Mus musculus: one gene and its partners. The protein of the gene in region 2 interacts with the protein of the main gene of each other region in a pairwise test. Links are inferred from orthologs where the notes say so. Each region holds a gene or a part of one and is shown on either strand. Other genes may lie near its edges. The genes, in order: Ccdc57, Sirpa and Nol3.

Region 1 (3,653 bases), on a different chromosome or scaffold from region 2:
AGATCTGGACACCTCTCACAGCATTCAACCAAGCCCTACACATAGATCAGCCCAAGGATCCACTCCTCCTGGGAGAGCACTCAGTGAACCTCTCACCATGTAGATTTCAAACCAGTTGGCAAGGAGTGCCCCAAAGAACCAACCCCAGCGATGTTCTACCTGTCTCTGCAGAGCAAGTTCACCATCGAGTTCCTTCAGTTTTCGCTCCAGTTCCCACTCCAGGCGCTCATTCTGTTCCCGCTGGTGGGCCAGTTCGCTGTTCTTGTCACTGTGGTAAGCAGACAGGGTGTTGAGAGAGCCATCTACTGAATGCTCACTGCCTGTACACACAGCGGGAGCACCTCACCCATGGAGCTGGGACATGGCATTTGCAGGGGTGCATGCATCGGGCCTCTAAGAAGTAGGACTTCTGCCTGACCTGAACCTGCCTGCCACCCCTAAACAAAGCTGCCAACAGCACAGGAGAAAACAGAACATAGAATTGTGTTGACAAACAAGAATCAAGAGAAAGAAGCCGGGTGTGGTGGCGCACGCCTTTAATCCCAGCACTTGGGAAGCAGAGGCAGGTAGATTTCTGAGTTCGGGGCCAGCCTGGTCTACAGAGTAAGTTCCAGGACAGCCAGAGCTACACGGAGAAACCCTGTCTCAAAAAACCAGAAAAAAAAAAAAAAAGAATCAAGAGAAGGGCCAGGCATGGTGGTACACACCTTTAATCCCAGCACTTAGGAGGCAAACAGGCTGATCTCTGTGTTCAAAGCCAACCTACTGTACATAGTGAATTCCAGGCCAGTCAGGACTATATAATTATGAAATGGAGGGGTTAATAACTGAAAGATGCCAATATTTAGAAAACCCAAGGGAAACACAGGGAATCTCAGCAAAGAAGAGATACAACAACAAATCAAATAAAAACTTGATAACTAAAGTACAAATAGTACCACGTCACTACCCCTTTAATCAGAATCCCAGCACTTGGGAGCCAGAGGCAGAGTGGCAAAGAGGCAGAGAGGTAGAGAGGCAGAGAAGCAGAGGCAGGCAGATCTCTGTGAGTTCAAGGCCAGCCAGGTCTACGTAGTGAGACTCTATCTCAAAACAACAACAATAAAAAAGATTTAAAAACTACAATAACCTAAATAAAAGTCTCACATCCTGAGTATGATGTCATACTGAATATGGCAAAGGAGGGAATTGGTGAACTTGATACAGACATTAGATATCACATGACTGAATGGAGAAAAAATGAACTAAAAATAAAAGATAAAGGAATGGGGCCGGGCATTGGTGGCGCACACCTTCAGCCCCAGCAGATTTCTAAGTCTGAGGCCAGTCTGGTCTACAGAGTGAATTCCAGGACAGCCTGGGCTACACAGAAAAACTCTGTTTCAAACAAACAAATGGAGCCCTGAGGATTTGGGGTAGTTACAAGTGGCGACTGACAAAGCGTCCGAGTGACCGGAAGGTCTCAGATTTGGAGAAAAAGGAAAGAGTCACAAAATCACATAAAGCAGCTTCAGCTTCCAAGTGCGAGCTACATGAGTCTGTGCTGAGGATGCTCCAGACGGTGGCTGAGCAGCACTTCCCGACTGGGTCACAGGTGCTGCAGAACATTTACTAAAGACCTCCACGACTGGGTGTGGTGGCGCACGCCTTTAATCCCAGCACTCAGGAGGCAGAGGCAGGCTGATTTCTGAGTTTGAGGCCCAGCCTGGTCTACAGAGTGAGTTCCAGGACAGCCAGGACTATACAGAGAAACCCTGTCTCGAAAAAAAACAAAAAACAAAAACCAAAAACCAAAAAAAAAAAAAAAGACCTCCATGTCTGACACAACATCTCTGTATGTTAGGTGAAACTCACGGAATGATTGCTAAAACTTAGCAGACCAGTAGCTTCCATCAAACTCCAAAGGTAAGAATGCCAGCAGATAACATCTGTCATGCTGGGATAGTGGTGCCTTTAGTCCCAGCATTTCAGGAGGAAGAAACAGGTGTATCTCTGAATTTGTGGTCAGCCTGGTCTACAAAGTAAGTTCCAGGGCAGCCAGTGAGATCTTATGTAAAAAACAAAACAGCAAAAACAAAAAATCTTGGACTGAGACCTACGGAAAAACTCATCAGTACCACTGAGCATCCAGTGGCGCTGAGCAGCCACCGACGCATGCACATCACTCACTGGGCACCAGACACAATGACCTGTAAGGGTAACGCACCTGTGGACGCGCTCCAACTCCAAGCGATGCTCCTGCAGCATTAGCTGATGCTGATGCTGCAGCTCCCCCACTCGCCTGGCCTCCCTGGTGAGGTCTTGTTTCAGCTTGGCCACCTCTATCTTGAGCTCACTGGCCTCTGCTTGTTGGGCCTCCTCCCGCTGGCGGGCCTGGGTGAACTCAACATCATAGCGCTCCAGCTCCCGGTCCCGCTCTTCCAGCACCTGAAGGTTGTAAACAAAGTCCTCCTGTAGGCGTTGCAGCTTCCCCTGTGTCTCCTCCAGGCGGTTCTGAGCAGCCTGTAGAGCTGCCTCCTGCAGCTGCGCACGGTGGGCCTGGAGGACTCGCCATTCCTCCTCCTTTCGAGCCAAAAGCTCATTCAGTTCCCGCTCTGAACATAGCGGCAGCATGGTGATGGCTGCAGCAAAGAAGGACACAAGTAGCATACCATTAGAGACTTTGACTTGTGAGCATGCGTGTGCATGTGTGTATGCACATGAGTGTGTATGTATATATATATATGTATGTGTATGTATATATGTGTATATGTGTATGTGTGTGTGTTTGTGTGCATGTGTACATGTATGTGTGTATGTATGTGTGTGTGTATGTATGTGTATGTGTGTATGTGTGTATGTATGTATGTGTGTATGTGTGTGTGTTTGTGTGCATGTGTACGTGTATGTATGTGTGTATGTGTGTGTGTGTGTGTGTGTGTGTGTGTGTATTTTTGTTTTTTGAGGCAGGGCTTCTCTGTCTAGCTTGGCTGTCCTGGAATTCACTCTTGAACTAACAGAGATCTACCTGACTCTGCCTCCCACATGCTGGGATTAAAGGCAAGAACCACCACTGTTCAGTTATACAAATAAATTTTAAAAACAAGATACACTATACAAGTGCAGAGGTTCTTGAGATGGAGTCTTACTAAGTTGCCCAGGATATCCTTGAACTCAGTCCTCTATTTTAGCCTCCTGAATAGCTACAGTAATAGATATGTACCACTATGTCTGGCTAAAGTCTTAATTTTTAAAAAATTAGATCCAACATTATAAAACTACTTTGCCAAATAGAAAATAAGTCTTTAAAAGCAACTTGGAGGAGTGAAGAGTGGGCCTCCAGGAACTGCAGTGGCCGCAAGCACACTGGAAGAGACTGTTTCTTATCAAGGCACACTACAGACTGTTACTGGTTCTAGGGAAGCCTGGCTGCCAGTCCTCACCATAAAAGGGGCTCTTTTCTGTACACAGAGCCATTTCACTTGGGGCTCCTGGCTTTATTTATAGAGTGAGCCCATGGCTGCTCACAAGGAAGGACATAAGGTTAATAATGCTGAGCACCATCACCGAGGCACAGGAGCCAAGTGTGCGCAGGGGAGGCACCAGAGCTCCTCTCTGACTGTCTTCCAACAGCCTCTGCCAGGCACATAGAGGCTTCTGCACTAACTGTCACC
Region 2 (3,653 bases):
AGCTGGAGTTATCACAGAGAAAGGAGCTTCAGTTGAGGAAATGCCTCCATGAGATCCAACTGTAAGGCATTTTCTCAATTAGTGATCAAGAGGAAAGGCCCCTTGTGGGTGGGACCATCTCTGGGCTGGTTGTCTTGGGTTCTATAAGAGAGCAGGCTGAGCAAGCCAGTAAAGAACATCCCTCCATGGCCTCTGCATCAGCTCCTGCTTTCTGACCTGCTTGAGTTCCAGTCCTGCATCCTTTGGTGATCAACAGCAGTATGGAAATGTAAGCCGAATAAACCCTTTCTTCCCCAACTTGTTTCTTGGTCCTGAGGTTTGTGCAGGAATAGAAACCCTGACTAAGACAAATGGTCAGTGTTCTTAACCACTGGGCCATCTCTCCAGGCCCCAGAAGATAAATATTTTTTAAGTACTAAATTAGTTATCTCAGTGGAAGAGTTGAAACCCACCCACTATGCTTTTGGCTAGTCCCACTCTCCTCTGAGCCTTGTCCTACAGAAGGAGTTCACCCTAACTACCCCATCATGGGCACAGAGAGAGCAGCCAGTGCCAGGCTCTAAGAACTCAATAGATGGTGACTTCAGCTTTTTCCTGGTATCTGTAGGATACCCAAATCCAAAGATGCTTAAGGCCCTCATCCAGGATGGGGGAGATTTGCGTGTAACCTACACACATCCTGCCATCTATTTTAAATCATCTCTGGGTTTCTTATAATACTTAATACGATGCAAATGCTATGTAAATAGTTGTTCTATGTGTTGTTTAGGGAATAGTGACAAGAAAAAGTCTGTTACTATTCAGTACAGATGCAGCTTTTTCAACAATATTTTACATTTGCAGTTGGGTTAGATTTAAGCACAGGGAGTCCCCAGGGCCTGACGGATGGCTCTTCACTGCTGCTGGTGTCCTGATGACTTGACTTCTTCAAGTGACACCTCCTTTCTGTGCCCTCGACATATTAGGCGGATATTAGGGAGCAAGTATGTGTTGGCAGATGGAAACGTGTTGTGTTTGCTGTCTGGAAGTGATGCTGGTTGCTTATGAGCAGTTTGGATTAATCCCCAAGGGACACTGCCTCCCTCCTAGTCACCCATGAGTCCATTCAGGACCAGAAGAAGCGTGTCTGCTTGCTTGGTGGGGCTGCTCGCTGCTGTCTCTTTACTAATTAGAAATCAAGAGCCACCTTTGGCTTTCTTAACATAGAAGTGATCTTTGTTTCCAACTCTATAAACAAAAGCTCTCCAGATTGAAAGCAAAAATTCCCTTTAGCCTCTCTCTTTCAAATATGGGACTTGGCCTGGGAAAAGCCTACTAGGTTGTAGAGAGAGAAGAGGAAAACCCACGTAGTGAATTCCCAAGTTCTTACAGGGAGGATGTAAGAATAAAGTGTAGGGCTGGAGAGAGGCTCACTGATTGAGGAGCTTGTACTGCGCTTACCAAGGATCTTAGTTCAATTCCCAGCACCCACGCGGCTGGGTGACTCACAACCGCCTGCGACCACAGCTCCAGGGGATCCAGTGTCCTCTCTGCTCTCTTAAGGAACTCACTCATATACACAGACACATTAAAAATTTTTTTAAATAAATATCCAGGTCAAGGTCAGATCTGTGTGTCTTGTTGAGGAGCATCTCTGTGTGTCTGTCAGTCATCTGAAGCAGGAAGCCTCCAGGGCCTCATCTCTTCCTCACCGCGTCCAGAGAGCAGAAACCTTGCCTCCCATTTCATATGCGTGGCTCTGGGCAGTGTAAACATCTCAGAGCAGCCACTGGGATCCTACAGTGTTATTTGTTTCCTGTGTTTACTTCTGCAAACACTTTTCTCTAAGTTGGCAGAGTTTCCAGGAATGCAGTTAAAAGTAGTTAAAGAATGAGATAGGTCAGCAATCTTGGAAATCCCTGAAGCAGAGAAGATTTAGACCTCGGGCCTGGAGTTCCTGGCCTTGCCTTACTGCCTGACTGACCCCTCCATTTCATGAAACCTCTGCATCCTCCCCAGATAGAAGGCTAAGGACATGGTCATTCCAGCTTCATCAGGAGGGAGATTAATGAATAGTGTCACCAGTCTAGAGACGCCATACGGTTTAGTAGTAGAATATGCACTGAGTGTGCATAAAGCCCTGGGGCCAATCCCCCATGTTCCAGTGTGATGACAGTATCTAGGCAGACGACTTACACCACCAGTTCATTTGCTTGGCCATCACAATCATATTTCTTGTCTATAAATGCTCCTTTAGCCAAACCTTCTCCACCGGAGGTATCCGGCCCAGCAGACAGGGGCATACCTGACCAGAAAGTGAACTTCACCTGCAAGTCTCATGGCTTCTCTCCCCGGAATATCACCCTGAAGTGGTTCAAAGATGGGCAAGAACTCCACCCCTTGGAGACCACCGTGAACCCTAGTGGAAAGAATGTCTCCTACAACATCTCCAGCACAGTCAGGGTGGTACTAAACTCCATGGATGTTAATTCTAAGGTCATCTGCGAGGTAGCCCACATCACCTTGGATAGAAGCCCTCTTCGTGGGATTGCTAACCTGTCTAACTTCATCCGAGGTAGATGTCCTTGACTTCTAGCCCAAGTTCACAGCAGCCATTACCCTATGACTAGCACCATGCTGGTAGTTGCATTTCAATGGCAACTATAATTCCTGGGTACCCAGTGTGAGCCACGCCCCCTTTGCCTGGTAGTTTTCATTTATTTTGTTTTAGGTACTGCATGCATTGACATCATTCATTATCACCATACCAGTAGCTACCAGTTCCCAGACAAGGCACCGTTTGTATTCTGGGTACTGTGCTTAATGCTACCAGTTCCCAGACAAGGCACCGTTTGTGTTCTGGGTGCTGTGCTTAGTGATTCCATTTGTATGAGACCCACACTGCCTGAGTACGCAATGCATGCCTAGTAGTCTTGTTTGTTTGCTGTGATGGTGGGAGAGGCTCAGCTCTGCAGCCCCTCCCTGGGATCACAGTGCAGCTTAAGGTTAGAGCTTTTGCCTGTACTGTTTCAGTTTCACCCACCGTGAAGGTCACCCAACAGTCCCCGACGTCAATGAACCAGGTGAACCTCACCTGCCGGGCTGAGAGGTTCTACCCCGAGGATCTCCAGCTGATCTGGCTGGAGAATGGAAACGTATCACGGAATGACACGCCCAAGAATCTCACAAAGAACACGGATGGGACCTATAATTACACAAGCTTGTTCCTGGTGAACTCATCTGCTCATAGAGAGGACGTGGTGTTCACGTGCCAGGTGAAGCACGACCAACAGCCAGCGATCACCCGAAACCATACCGTGCTGGGATTTGCCCACTCGAGTGATCAAGGGAGCATGCAAACCTTCCCTGGTGAGGCCTCCACTCCCGCTGATTGGTCTTTTTTTCTTTTTCCTTTTTTTTTTTTTTTTTGAATCTTTATCATGATTTTATCTGTTTTTCAATGTTAAAGTTATTATATCATGCTTATTATAGAGAAGTCTAGAAGTTTATAAGCATAAACACAGTTTTAAAATGGGAACTGCTTCTCCAGCATTTGTGCTCCTAGATTCAGCACTGGTAAGAGTTTGGCTCCTGTCTGGATAGGTCTGATGACACAGTGTATCAGAGAGGAGGAAAGGGAGACGGAGTCTGTCTTTGCTTGCCTCCTGCCTCCT
Region 3 (3,146 bases), on a different chromosome or scaffold from region 2:
GGGGAAATGAGAACCTAGTCGGCCTTTCTTGGACCTGATTGTGGTGACTATGCAGAGGGGAGGACAGACAGCTGACATTCAACAGTCTCCTGTTGGATGTGGGAGATAACCCGAGAGAGAGACCCAGGTATCAGTTGGATACCATTTAGAGGTGAGGAGATAAGGTGGGCTGGAGAGGAATGGGTTGTACAACGTAGATAAAAGATAGAGAGAGAAAGATAGAAGATCCAGGGCAGAGCCTGAAGGTATCTATTGTAGGAGTCGATGAAGAATATACACAATCATCTCAGGAGCAAATGGCCCTGAGCCATGGGTAGATCCTGGACTTGAAAGCCAGGCACTTTGATTAGCTCTGAGGCTCAGTTTGCTTCCTATAGGTCTCCTATGAAGACGTGGAACAACTGCGGCCCTACGGGGTGCTAGACAATACCAGAGTGCCCCACTTCATGAAGGACTTGGAACGTTACCGGCAGCAGCTGGAACACATCATGACCACCAACCGGCTGGATGAAGCGGAGCTGGGCCGCCTGCTGCCTGACTGATGTTGACTAAGGGTTATAGACAGACGCTCTTGACAGAGGTCACAGATCGGAATATGAAGTTCTTTATGGTTCCATAGCCTAGGTGTTTCTTGGGGGCATTTGGGAGGCCAGGAGCATCGTGGGCAGATGAGAAGCAACGTTAGAAGGTTTTTGTCCTTGCTACCCTTCCTGGGGCCTGTGAACTGCAGCAGCATGTCACATAAACTCCTGAGCAGGGGAGATGGGAGGGCGATGAGATGGGAGCTGAGTGTGAATAGAAATGTGGGTTGGTTTGGGAATAGAAACTTGTTCCTGCATGAGATGGCTTTGGGTGTCTGGTACCACTCCTTCCCTTCCCCCTACCTGGCCGATTGGTGCTCCTTCTACACTCATACCTCTACCTCTCACTGGGGCCAGCAGGAGTTGGGAACCCCTCTGAGGTGATTTGCCTGAGCATGGGGTTCCGGCTGTCACTCAGGCTCAGAGACCCAGCTGGGCTGGGCTTTGCCTTTCAGCATTCTGTCTGTCTCACTGGTCATGCATTGTTCCATAGTCGCCCTCATGGGGTCATTTCATGCCTCCAGGCGGGGCCCGGAAGTAGTAGTAGTAGTAGTAGTAGTAGTAGTAGTAGTAGTAGTAGTAGTTCCATGTAGGGGCAGGATCCTTTGGAAAAGTACCGTATGTTCCTAGACCCCTTCCTTCCTTCCTTCCTTCCTTCCTTCTTTCCTTCCTTCCTTCCTTCCTTCCTTCCTTCCTTCCTTCCTTCCCTCTCCCTCTCTCCCTCTTCCTTCCTTCCTTCCTCCCTCTCTCCCTCTTCCTTCCTTCCTTCCTTCCTTCCTTCCTTCCTTCCTTCCTCCCTCCCTCCCTCTCCCTCTCTCTCTCTCTCTTCCTTCCTTCCTTCCTTCCTTCCTTCCTTCCTTCCTTCTTTTCTTTCAAAGACTTATTTATTTTATGTATACGAGTACACTGTAGCTGTCTTCAGACACACTAGAAGAGGGCATCAGATTCCATTACAGATGGTTGTGAGCCGCCATGTGGTTGCTGGGAGTAGAACTCAGGACCTCTGGGAAAGCAGTCAGTGCTCTTAACCACTGAGCCATCTCTCCAGCCCCCTAGACCCCCTTTCTTATCACTCACACAGACACACTGTGTCTTGTGTCTTGTGAGTCCAGCACCTGGTCCCACCCTCAGTCCCCATGTTAGTCTTGGTTGTGCCTGTCTTTAACCACAGCCTCACAGCTGGTCTCTGGCAGTGGTTAGGACAGGCGGGAGCAACCACAATCAAACCTACAGGGCAGGCCCTAGGGTTTGTTATCCCACGTTCAGGCCAGGATTAGTACAGAGCTGGTTAAGGCTTTCATTTCACTTCAGATTCAGCGGTGGGAGAGTGAGCTAGTACTGTCCTAACCCTGGCTTTTCAGTTAATGTTTCCATCTGTGAAGCTTGGAAACACAGCTGGGAAGTTTGTATTCATTTACTTAGTAGATATGTGCAGAGCTCCTTGTGTATGTCTGTGACTGGTTAGACCCCACGCCCCTCACTGAGCTCCCAGTTCAGAGGAAAGCCAGACAATTAAACAGCAGTTACAATGATGTGTGTGGCTTCTGTCTACTCAAGTTTCCTCTCAGGTCCTCCCTGCAAGACTGTGAGCGCCAAGACTTCTCTCCATGTGTGGATGGACATCCCCCTTCACTTGCTTGGTACACCAAGCCGAGTGATTTCCATGGATTAGAAGTGTTGCCCACTCGGCCTCCCAAATGGCCCCTGAGGGGAATAAAGTGGGTGAGGGAGGGTCAGATTTGGGGGCCTGCATCTGAGATCTCCAGAATTACAGCTTGGGCTCTTTGGGAAGTGGAATGTTTTTGAGGGGATGGGGGTATTTTCACACAAGCCTGCTCAGGTCAGTGGGATTCAGACCCACGCTCACCCTCAGTTCTTGAGCAAAGAGCCAGACTTGTGGAGAGTCAGGAACAGACTGACCCTCCTGAGTTTATTCATTTGGCAGTAGGTGTCTCGGTGCATCGATGGGGTCAAGCTCTGGCAGGTTTCCAGGTCTTATCCAGCACAAATAGGATTGGACAGCTAAGGATTCTGGCCTTCAGGAATCTGGAGATGAAAATGATGGTTAGTGGAATAGGGATCAACCCCCCCCCCCCACACACACACACTTTGCAGTCCACAACCCGTAACAAGCCTGCAAGCAAGGGTTTAGGCGCTCTCACAACCTTCAGATTCATCCTCTTCTTGGAAGTCGGGCTCGGGTTCGGGTTCCGGCTCGGGCTCGGGTTCTGGCTCGGGCTCGGGTTCCGGCTCGGGCTCGGGTTCGGGTTCTGGCTCGGGCTCCGGCTCCGGCTCTTGTTCTGGATTCATTTCTTGTTCCAGGTCTGGCTCATCCCCTTCAGTAGCTTCAGCTTCTAGTTCTGGCTCCTCTGGAGTTCGAGGCTGCAGTGCCTCAGAGCCCTCAGGACCTCCGACCTCCTCTTGCTCTGACGCTCTTGGCAGCTCAGGACATGTGGTCCCTGAACTGGGTGCTTCTGGCGTCCAGTGGCCTGGGCATGAAGGGTCATAGCTGCGGTTCCGGTAGCCTGGGAAGGAAGAGGGAGTACTTGAGGTTCAGTTCACCCC

What was found.
Region 1: the proteins of Sirpa (region 2) and Ccdc57 interact in a two-hybrid assay, tested with the Homo sapiens proteins (2 studies listed by BioGRID). The two-hybrid records come from large-scale screens. The link is inferred for Mus musculus from reciprocal best matches to the Homo sapiens genes SIRPA and CCDC57.
Region 3: the proteins of Sirpa (region 2) and Nol3 interact in a two-hybrid assay, tested with the Homo sapiens proteins (2 studies listed by BioGRID and IntAct). The two-hybrid records come from large-scale screens. The link is inferred for Mus musculus from reciprocal best matches to the Homo sapiens genes SIRPA and NOL3.

The regions. Positions count from the first base shown.
Region 1 is NC_000077.6:120,919,314-120,922,966, forward strand, and holds part of Ccdc57 (coiled-coil domain-containing protein 57), read right to left. Parts: intron 2,622-3,653; 5' UTR 2,614-2,621; coding exon 2,207-2,613; intron 269-2,206; coding exon 160-268; intron 1-159. UniProt on the Homo sapiens protein: Pleiotropic regulator of centriole duplication, mitosis, and ciliogenesis. Critical interface between centrosome and microtubule-mediated cellular processes. Centriole duplication protein required for recruitment of CEP63, CEP152, and PLK4 to the centrosome.
Region 2 is NC_000068.7:129,613,211-129,616,863, forward strand, and holds part of Sirpa (tyrosine-protein phosphatase non-receptor type substrate 1 isoform 1 precursor), read left to right. Parts: intron 1-2,236; coding exon 2,237-2,554; intron 2,555-3,012; coding exon 3,013-3,348; intron 3,349-3,653. UniProt on the Homo sapiens protein: Immunoglobulin-like cell surface receptor for CD47. Acts as docking protein and induces translocation of PTPN6, PTPN11 and other binding partners from the cytosol to the plasma membrane.
Region 3 is NC_000074.6:105,279,376-105,282,521, reverse strand, and holds the end of Nol3 (nucleolar protein 3), read right to left. Parts: intron 3,107-3,146; coding exon 2,747-3,106; intron 2,628-2,746; coding exon 2,620-2,627; 3' UTR 583-2,619; downstream 1-582. Other genes in the region: 4931428F04Rik (uncharacterized protein KIAA0895-like), read left to right, coding at 378-542.